2 linked regions of the Rhinolophus ferrumequinum genome follow. The protein of the gene in region 1 purifies or fractionates together with the protein of each later gene. This does not show direct contact. Links are inferred from orthologs where the notes say so. Each region holds a gene or a part of one and is shown on either strand. Other genes may lie near its edges. The genes, in order: TRA2B and RNPS1.

The links.
Region 2: the proteins of TRA2B (region 1) and RNPS1 purify together in Homo sapiens (affinity purification with western blotting; 3 studies listed by BioGRID and IntAct, with this or other methods). This does not show direct contact. The link is inferred for Rhinolophus ferrumequinum from reciprocal best matches to the Homo sapiens genes TRA2B and RNPS1.

What each region holds. Positions count from the first base shown.
Region 1 is NC_046285.1:59,569,086-59,572,996, forward strand, and holds the start of TRA2B (transformer-2 protein homolog beta), read left to right. Parts: upstream 1-994; 5' UTR 995-1,320; coding exon 1,321-1,356; intron 1,357-3,911. UniProt on the Homo sapiens protein: Sequence-specific RNA-binding protein which participates in the control of pre-mRNA splicing. Can either activate or suppress exon inclusion. Acts additively with RBMX to promote exon 7 inclusion of the survival motor neuron SMN2.
Region 2 is NW_022680357.1:3,985,410-3,989,320, reverse strand, and holds the start of RNPS1 (RNA-binding protein with serine-rich domain 1), read left to right. Parts: upstream 1-1,514; 5' UTR 1,515-1,649; coding exon of another isoform or gene 1,650-1,651; intron 1,652-1,742; exon of another isoform or gene 1,743-2,043; intron 2,044-2,456; exon of another isoform or gene 2,457-2,466; intron 2,467-3,911. UniProt on the Homo sapiens protein: Part of pre- and post-splicing multiprotein mRNP complexes. Auxiliary component of the splicing-dependent multiprotein exon junction complex (EJC) deposited at splice junction on mRNAs.

The sequences.
Region 1 (3,911 bases):
TGGTTGCACAATTCTGTGTATATAATAGAAACCATTTGAATTGCACACTTTAAATGGGAGTATTGCATGGTATATGAATTACATTTCAAAAAGCTCTTTTTGAAAGCCAAACGGATTTTTACCGCTACCAAAGTACCTCACCAGCCAGTTTCCCAGCCAGTTACTAGAAGGGAAACAACAGGTGCAGAGAGGTTTCGACTTCCAAATTTGAGCTCTTTCCACTGCAGGGGCACTAAGACACCAAGACAGTTGATCTAATAGCCGGGATGGCTAAGTCACCAACCAGCGGGGAGCCCTAGACAAAGAGATGATTCACATCCCAGGCTGGATAGAGCAGGATGGCAGATCTTCACACTACTCAGAAGGGTGCACAATTTAAAATTATGAGTTGTTTATTTCTGGAGTTTTCCATTTAATATTTTCAGTCTACAGTTGATCATTAACTGAAACCGTGGAAAGCGAAACCACAGATAAAGGGAGACTATTGTATACCATGCTGTTGTTTGATGGCAGAATTAATCTTCCCTCCTTGTGACATCACTATAGATGTGCATGCCTATAGCACTTAAAATCAAGTTTACAACTGTGTATTTAGAATAGAGATTGTGAACAGAGATTATGTGTAACTTCAGTGCATCAAGATCGGTCAAGTGCTTTGCTATTTAATAGGTGCTCAAATGAAGGTTTATTCAAGAAGAAAAGATCTATAACTATTCTAAATAAATGTAAAGCATAGAACCCAGCACATGGATATCGTTCCTCTCCAACCAAAACGCGCAAAAAAAGACAGAAATAAAGCGGAAAAAAGATGGGAGAAACTGAGGGCATCTCTTTCCCCCCCTTTCCCCTGCCCACGACAGTTTCCCAGGAAAGCTCCACAAGGGAATCAGGCATGACCAGTGACATCACTGCACCCCGCGGCGCTATCATTGCACCCCACCTCAACCACCCCACAGGCCAACCCACCAGGTCACTTTTCCGCTTCACAGAGATCCAGATGTGGGTGAGGCCGCGCGAAGCGCGGGGCCTTACGTCACATCCAGTTCTCAACGCGCCACTGCTGGAAAGGGAAAGCCGAGGGCTGAGGGGCGGAGCCAAGAAAGCGCGCGTTCTGGGAGGGGGCGGAGCCGGCTTAAGGATGCCACGTCACGTCCGGGAGCGTTAGAGCCCGTGTTGAGGCGGTGCGGAGCAGTTCGGTTACCAGCGGGTTGGAAACCAGTGTGTTCTGGGTGGCTGCGGCGGAACCTCTGTAAAGAAAGCAAGAGGTTGGCAGCTTCGATTGAAGCACGTCGAGCTGAGCGGCGGCAGCAGCTACGAGTCATGAGCGACAGCGGCGAGCAGAACTACGGCGAGCGGGTACGTAGAGGTGGTGCAGGGGGCAGCTGTGTGGTCCCAGCTTCTTGCGTCTCTTTCTAGGCCCGTCGGCCTCGGACCGGGAGACGGGCGATTTAGACTGAGAAGTCTGAGGCCGGGAGGATGGGAGTCGGTTTTTAAAAGCCTTTGTGGATAGTGTTTTTAGCCGTGAAGGAGACCACAGGTAGGTTTATGTGGCCGTGTACCCAAGTCGGCGGTTTTTTCCGTTATAGGGGGGATTAAAGATGGCCGCTGCGTCCCCTCGGTGTTGGGGGAGGGGAGCGGATCTTATTTCGCCGTTGCTCTCCTGCGAAGGCTCGCCGCAGCCATCTTGGGCTGGCGGGCTGGGCGCGCTGCCAGAGGCACAAAATGGCGGCGGAGCCGCGCGCCGACGCAGGCCAGGCCGCGCCTCGCAAGGCCGCGTGGGGCGGGTGCGGAAAAAACAGGCTACGTTGTTTGGGGCCTTTTACCCGATGTTTAGGTTAGGAAAGGGTCGTCCTGTGGGCCCCTAAAGGATGAAATCTAGTGTGTTCTTGGGACTTTTAGGCTGGGGAAAACTTAACTGAGGCCGACTAAATTCTAGGCCCGTTAGTATGAGGGGATTGTGCGTGGGCTTTATGTTAGGCCTAAGTCGAGTGCTTTTCTTTGATACTGAAAGGGCTTTCAAACCAAATAGTACCCAAATAAAATGGACCGCGAGGTCTCCATTTTAATCATTTTATGGAGTAGATACTTTTCCACTGGATTGTGTAGGAGAAATTGGCGGGCAACGATTTATAGCGCCGTTATTTCCTTTGTTTTGAGGTATTCTGATTCTGTGGACCACAACTAGTGCTTTTCCGTATTTTTAAGTCTCTATCTCCCAGATTGAGGAGTTCGGTGAGGGTTAATTAAATTTTAGGAATAAAAGTTCCCAGCGTGATGTAAAGCTTGGTTGCGGAGTGGGGGGTTCTACTGAAGATGCCACAGTATAAGGCTTGCCCCCAAGTCTTAGATATTTGAAGGTTAAGGAGAATTTGTTAGGGTGATAAAAAGCACCGTAGAACTTGATCGGAATAAGTTGGATTTTTTTTACAGTTTGTTAGGTTTTTCTTTTTAAGTCTCAATAATAGGTAAATATATCCAAATACCTTAGCAAACGCGTGTGAAACAGATTTGGGGGCGGTTTAAAAGTAAACTGTCTTACCTCTTCGTACATTAATGAACTTATTCTAACTTTGGAGCCAAATATGTTTAATTTGGTTTGAACTAATCAAGCCTCGCCTTTACATATTCAGATAAATACTGCCTTTTTACGTTTTTTCCCTTAAGACGATTATAATGTCACCAATGTGCGATTATTTTTTTAAGCTCTTGGCTATGTTACGGTAAGAAAGTTTGGATTGGGCTCACAAATTGTTACGGCTCTGACTTCTATTAATAGTTTCTACCAGTTGAATATACTGTGGAAACTAGTCACTGGTGGTTGGACCGGTAATGGAAAACAATTTTAAGTCCTCAGTTATTAAATAAAATTATTGGGTACTTTTGCACTATTTAGGGACTGCAAAATGACTGGCTTATGATTAGCGGCGCTCTCTATTGAATATACCCGAGTAAGTTATTTGTGTCGGTGCGCTTGTGGAGATGAAAAATTGCCCAAAGGAAAATAAATTAGTATATTTTACATTAAGGGAGGAAACAATGTAGGAATTAGGTCCTGGTTTGAGGCAGCTCAAGAGATGTCAAACCATTAAAAGCTTTTGAAGTGGTTGTATTTTCTTCTAGTAGGGTATATACATCCCAGTGTTTTTCACAATGCTGCTACATATAATAGCTATCAACTAAATTATTACAGAGTGAGAGAGAACTACAGAGTAACTTAAAACTACATATTAGAAACTAATAATTTTTTCTTATCTAAGAGTCTTGACTTCCTGGAAGAGATTTTCTAACCTGAAGTTGTGGGGTGCTTCCATTTGGTTTGGTGTTTGTTTTGTATGTTGATTGCTTTCAAACTAGCCTTTTGGAACCTGAAGTTGTTAGGATAGACCTAAAACACGTGATGGGTTAAAAAGAATGCTTGGCAAACCATAAAGGTCAATGGAAAAATTAAAATAAAATGCCATAAAAAGAGCTAGGTAGAACGGTCAGGCCTGATTGGCTAAAAATTTCCTTTTGGAAGTGCCTGAAAGCTGAAAAAGTTGCATTCAGGGCAGTAATGTTGCCCTGAATGCAACTGTAGCCTTGTAGCCTTCCTGGGGCCTGAAAAATTAACTTTTATTCCACTTGAGGCTCTCAAACATTCCAAACTGTTCACATGTCACTAATAGAAATCTAATCAGTTCAACTGTAATCTCCCCCTCATTTATCTAAATCTTTAATAATCCTGACGGACACACACCCACTGTGACTTTTTTTCTAATCCTTTAGAGGTTGGAAGTTGTTCCTTCCTAAACAGTGGTTGTGTGTGGGCAATAAATTAAGTTATCCTCATTTTGGTCACTCTTAGAACTGGTTTAGCGTGTCCCCTTGGCTGGTTTTAAATGCATAAGTAGGGTGTGTTCTTGAAATTTTGT
Region 2 (3,911 bases), on another chromosome or scaffold:
TGCAGGAACAGGGCCGCCCTTCTGTTCCGCTTACCCCTCCATGCCTGGCCTTGGCAAATGTGACAGTGATGCAGAGAATTTAACTTGCTCTAAATGGCCCCCCTGCACCCCTCAAATCTAAATCCAAAGGGAGAATCCTGACCCAGACTGATGCTGCCTGCTGACCCACCACCAGAAACATGTTGGTGTCTCAGGGGAAGGGATTCAGGGGCAGGCTGCTCCTCCCAGGCTTCTCTTGACCCCAACTCCTCAGACAGCCCTCAGACCAGGGTGAGTGAGGTGTTAGGGGCACACGACACCCCTGGACAGGGCCAGAGGTACTGGAGGACGGAAAGGAGTCACCATCCACTGGCTGAGAATACCAAGTGAAGCAGAGAGCAATGACTTGCAGAGAGCGTCCACAGCACCATCCATCCACCATGTGTCACTAAGCATGTCCTTCCTGCTGACATCTGCCTCCAAGTCACATAGGTTCCTTCCACCAAAATAGCACCTTGGATCTATTCCCTTCTCTTCCTTGCTGCACCTACCAGTTCTGACAAGGTCTGGGACTGGGTGCACCCTTCTTCCTCCCACTAACAGTCATGGAGCAAGGTCCACTTGCCAGGCACGGAAGGGGGCGGGGTCTGGAGGGGGTACGCGGGTTGGCACAGAGTTGAACAAAACCCAAAAGCCTAGCCCTCTCAGCTCCGGGTTTTACTGGACAGCTTCCCGCCTGGGCCCAGGCCTCTCACCCCTCCTTCTGCCTTTGCCAGGAGGCTCGGACAGTGCCTCCCTGCCCACCGTCCACCGGCCGGGGCATGAAGCCTCGGCCTGTATCTTGCACATTCTCCTCGTCCCCGGCACCGCTGCTGCGAGCCGTCGCACTGGCCGCACCGGCCTCCCTTCGCTTCTTCCAACGAGCCTCCGCGTCTTTGCATCAGCTGTTCCCTCTGTCGGCGCGCCCTTCCACTCGGCGACGCTTCCCCGTATGCATCTTGTCTTCTACACTGCCTTTTGATCCCGGTGGGTGCCGGCCGCTCTGCCCCGCCTTATCCACCCCGCCAAGTTCCGCCAGCGCAGAAGCCACGTTGACACGGTCACTCCGCACATCATGAGTGGTTTTAGACCGCAGGAACCCATCCCCACACCGGCCCGGCCCGCTGAGCCGCCTCCGCCCTAGGGGTGCCCACGGCCGGCCGGCAGAGGCCGCAGCGCCTGCGAACCCCTCCTCTGCCACCAACCGGCGGCCCAGGGCGCGAAGCAAACCGGTACGAGGCTCGCCGCCCACACTACGGCCAGGCCCGCCGCGAGCCCAGTGCGCACGCGCAAGGCAAAGAGCGGGGCTGCGTTAACCCCCTCGGTCCCGGCCCGTGAGCTGCCCCCACGGCGCGAACCCCGGGCCCCAGCAAGCAGCTAATTTGCCGGCCCCAGGAGGCGCGCAGTCGGAAGCACCTCTCCAGAGAAGGAGACGGAGTAAGCGCCCCTTACACCGCTCGCCACAAACGGCCTCGGCCCTTAACACCGCGCGCTCGCGCCCATTGGCTAAGGCGTATTACGTCATCGCTGCGCGCCGAGCGGCGGCCTCTTCCCGCTCCCTCTTCCTGACGACAGAGCGGCGCCGGCATCAGCGGCCAAGAAGAGCGGGAGGAGGTCTGGGCGGCGGGAAGATGTAAGTGTGGGAATCCAACCCCATCCGAGCTTCGGGGGGGCGCCTGCCGGGCTCGGTGGGGTGCATCGTGGATCCGACGCGCTCCCCGGTCCCGCGGTGGGGACAGCGGCCTGGCGGCGCAGCTCGGGGTCCAAGAAGAAAGAGTGTGGCCCGGGGTGGGCGGAGTGGGAGGTACCGAGGCCGCGGCCCGGAAGTGGTCGGGGCCGCGGCGGGCGGAAGGGCGCCCTCGCTTCGTCCGCTCTGCGAAGGTTCGAGTTGGGCCCGCGGGACTCGGAGCTGCCGGGAGCGCGGCCTCAGCCCTCAAGGCCCTCTCGCCGGGCTGGAGACCCAGGCCCGCAACGCTGGGCCCTGCCCTGGAAGCGCTCGCGGCCCGGCGCCTGGACTGGGGAGTTGTGAGTGAACGCGGACGGGGTTGGCTAGGTCGCGTGCGGGGCCCGTGCCGTTGGGTGCGAAGTTGCTTAGTGGGGTGACCTGGAAGACCGGCTGATCCTCCCTTCGGGGCTATTAATTCAAACATTCACTCCAGGAACGTTTACCGGGCTCCTGTATGCCGTTCTCGGTGCTAGTCCTTGGAGATACGGCCCCTTGAAATCATGGAGCTCAGAAGGGAGCATACCGGACAGTTAAAATCAGTGTTGAAGAGACGTGGCTTTTTCTCTGATTTTTTTTTTTGCATGAATTGTGCCTAAAACACACTTTTAAATGGGGAAGGTGCTCCGAAGGTTTGAGCTGAAACGCCATTTGCTCGAGATTTAACTAATTGTTTTCTCCTCTCTCTGGCTGTTGGACGCGCACCTTTCCGGAGGATGGGGGAGGTAAACAAAGTCCTGTGCTGTTACCTGAACTTGTGTGAACAGAAACCTTCAACCTTTGCTTTCTAGCATTCGGCCACATCCAGCAAAGCATTCGTTTACTCGGTGGTTCTTAATCTTCTGTGTGTTTAAGAATAACTGGTAGTGCTTGTTTTCACAAAGGACATGGGGACAGGTCTTTAGGACCCGGGTGGGGCCTGGAATCTGGTCAATTCTAGGTCAACGCAGTTCAGGAAGGTAGCCATTGGCCACATAGGGCTTATCAAGCACTTGAAATACACCTAACCCAAATGAGGTGTTTAAAAGACTTGGAGAGCAGGGGGTTGAATATTTTATTTTTTATACTTATTACATGTTGAAAAGATAATATTTGGAGTATAGTGTGTTAACTTATTAGTATAGTGTGTTAACGTCACTGTTAACTTATGTTTTTTGTAATGTGGCTACTAGAAGATTTTAGGACATGTTTGAAGCTTAGGCACTGTTGGATGGTGCTGCTCAGGTGATCCCAATGGACGCCATCCAGGGACCCCTGTTGAGTATTTAGAGATATGTGACTTTGGAGACAAGGGTTTATGTGGGAAAGAGCCTCCAACTGTGGAGAAATGGCCCTTTCTTCTAACGTTAGCAAACATTTACGGTGCCTTAACTAGGTGCCAAGTCTTCTTCATGGGTTAATTTGATTAATGTTCTTTAACTATGAGATGTAGGAACTGTAATTGTCACCATAATACTGGTGAGAAATAGAGGCTCAGAAAGGTTAAGTGACTTATCCAAGGTCACACAGTAAAGCTGACTCAAGCAGGTTGACCCCAGACTCGCAGAACCACTGAATTATACTTACTGATTGTCCAAGGACGCTAACCTCATCTGGTGTTGTCAGGTTGGTGTGTATAGTAACTTATTGTTTTAAGGCAAAACACGTTAAAGATTTTACAGCCCTGGAAAAGAAGAGCAAGGGTGGTATTCTCTTCTCTTCCACTCAATTTGATTGTCCAAAGCCAGGCACTCTTTGTTGAGTCAGAATATTATTCAGCATTTTGGGCACCCCTACACACACAGAAACAGAATCCCAACTTCTGTGTGGTGTCCAGGTTACTTAAAGGCTATGGAGAAAGGTGGGAGAGAAGTAGGTAAGACTAACATCCTGAAGTCTTTGCTTACAACTCAAGCAAAGTGTACAAAACCTCACTGGAATTATGAGGCAAAATTATAATTGCCTCATATATTTGCCTGAGGCAGCACCCAGGCAAATATAGGGCACATGACGAATTCATAGTTCTTAAGTAATCTTACTAATGACCCTTTATTGAGCACATCCTGCAGTCCAGGCACTTTGCTAAACCCTGACGTGTGGTATCTCATCCAATTCCAATGTCTACTTTTTTCCCTCTGACATTTATTTTTGAAAGAATGTAAACATACTGAAAAGTTGAAAGACTTGCACC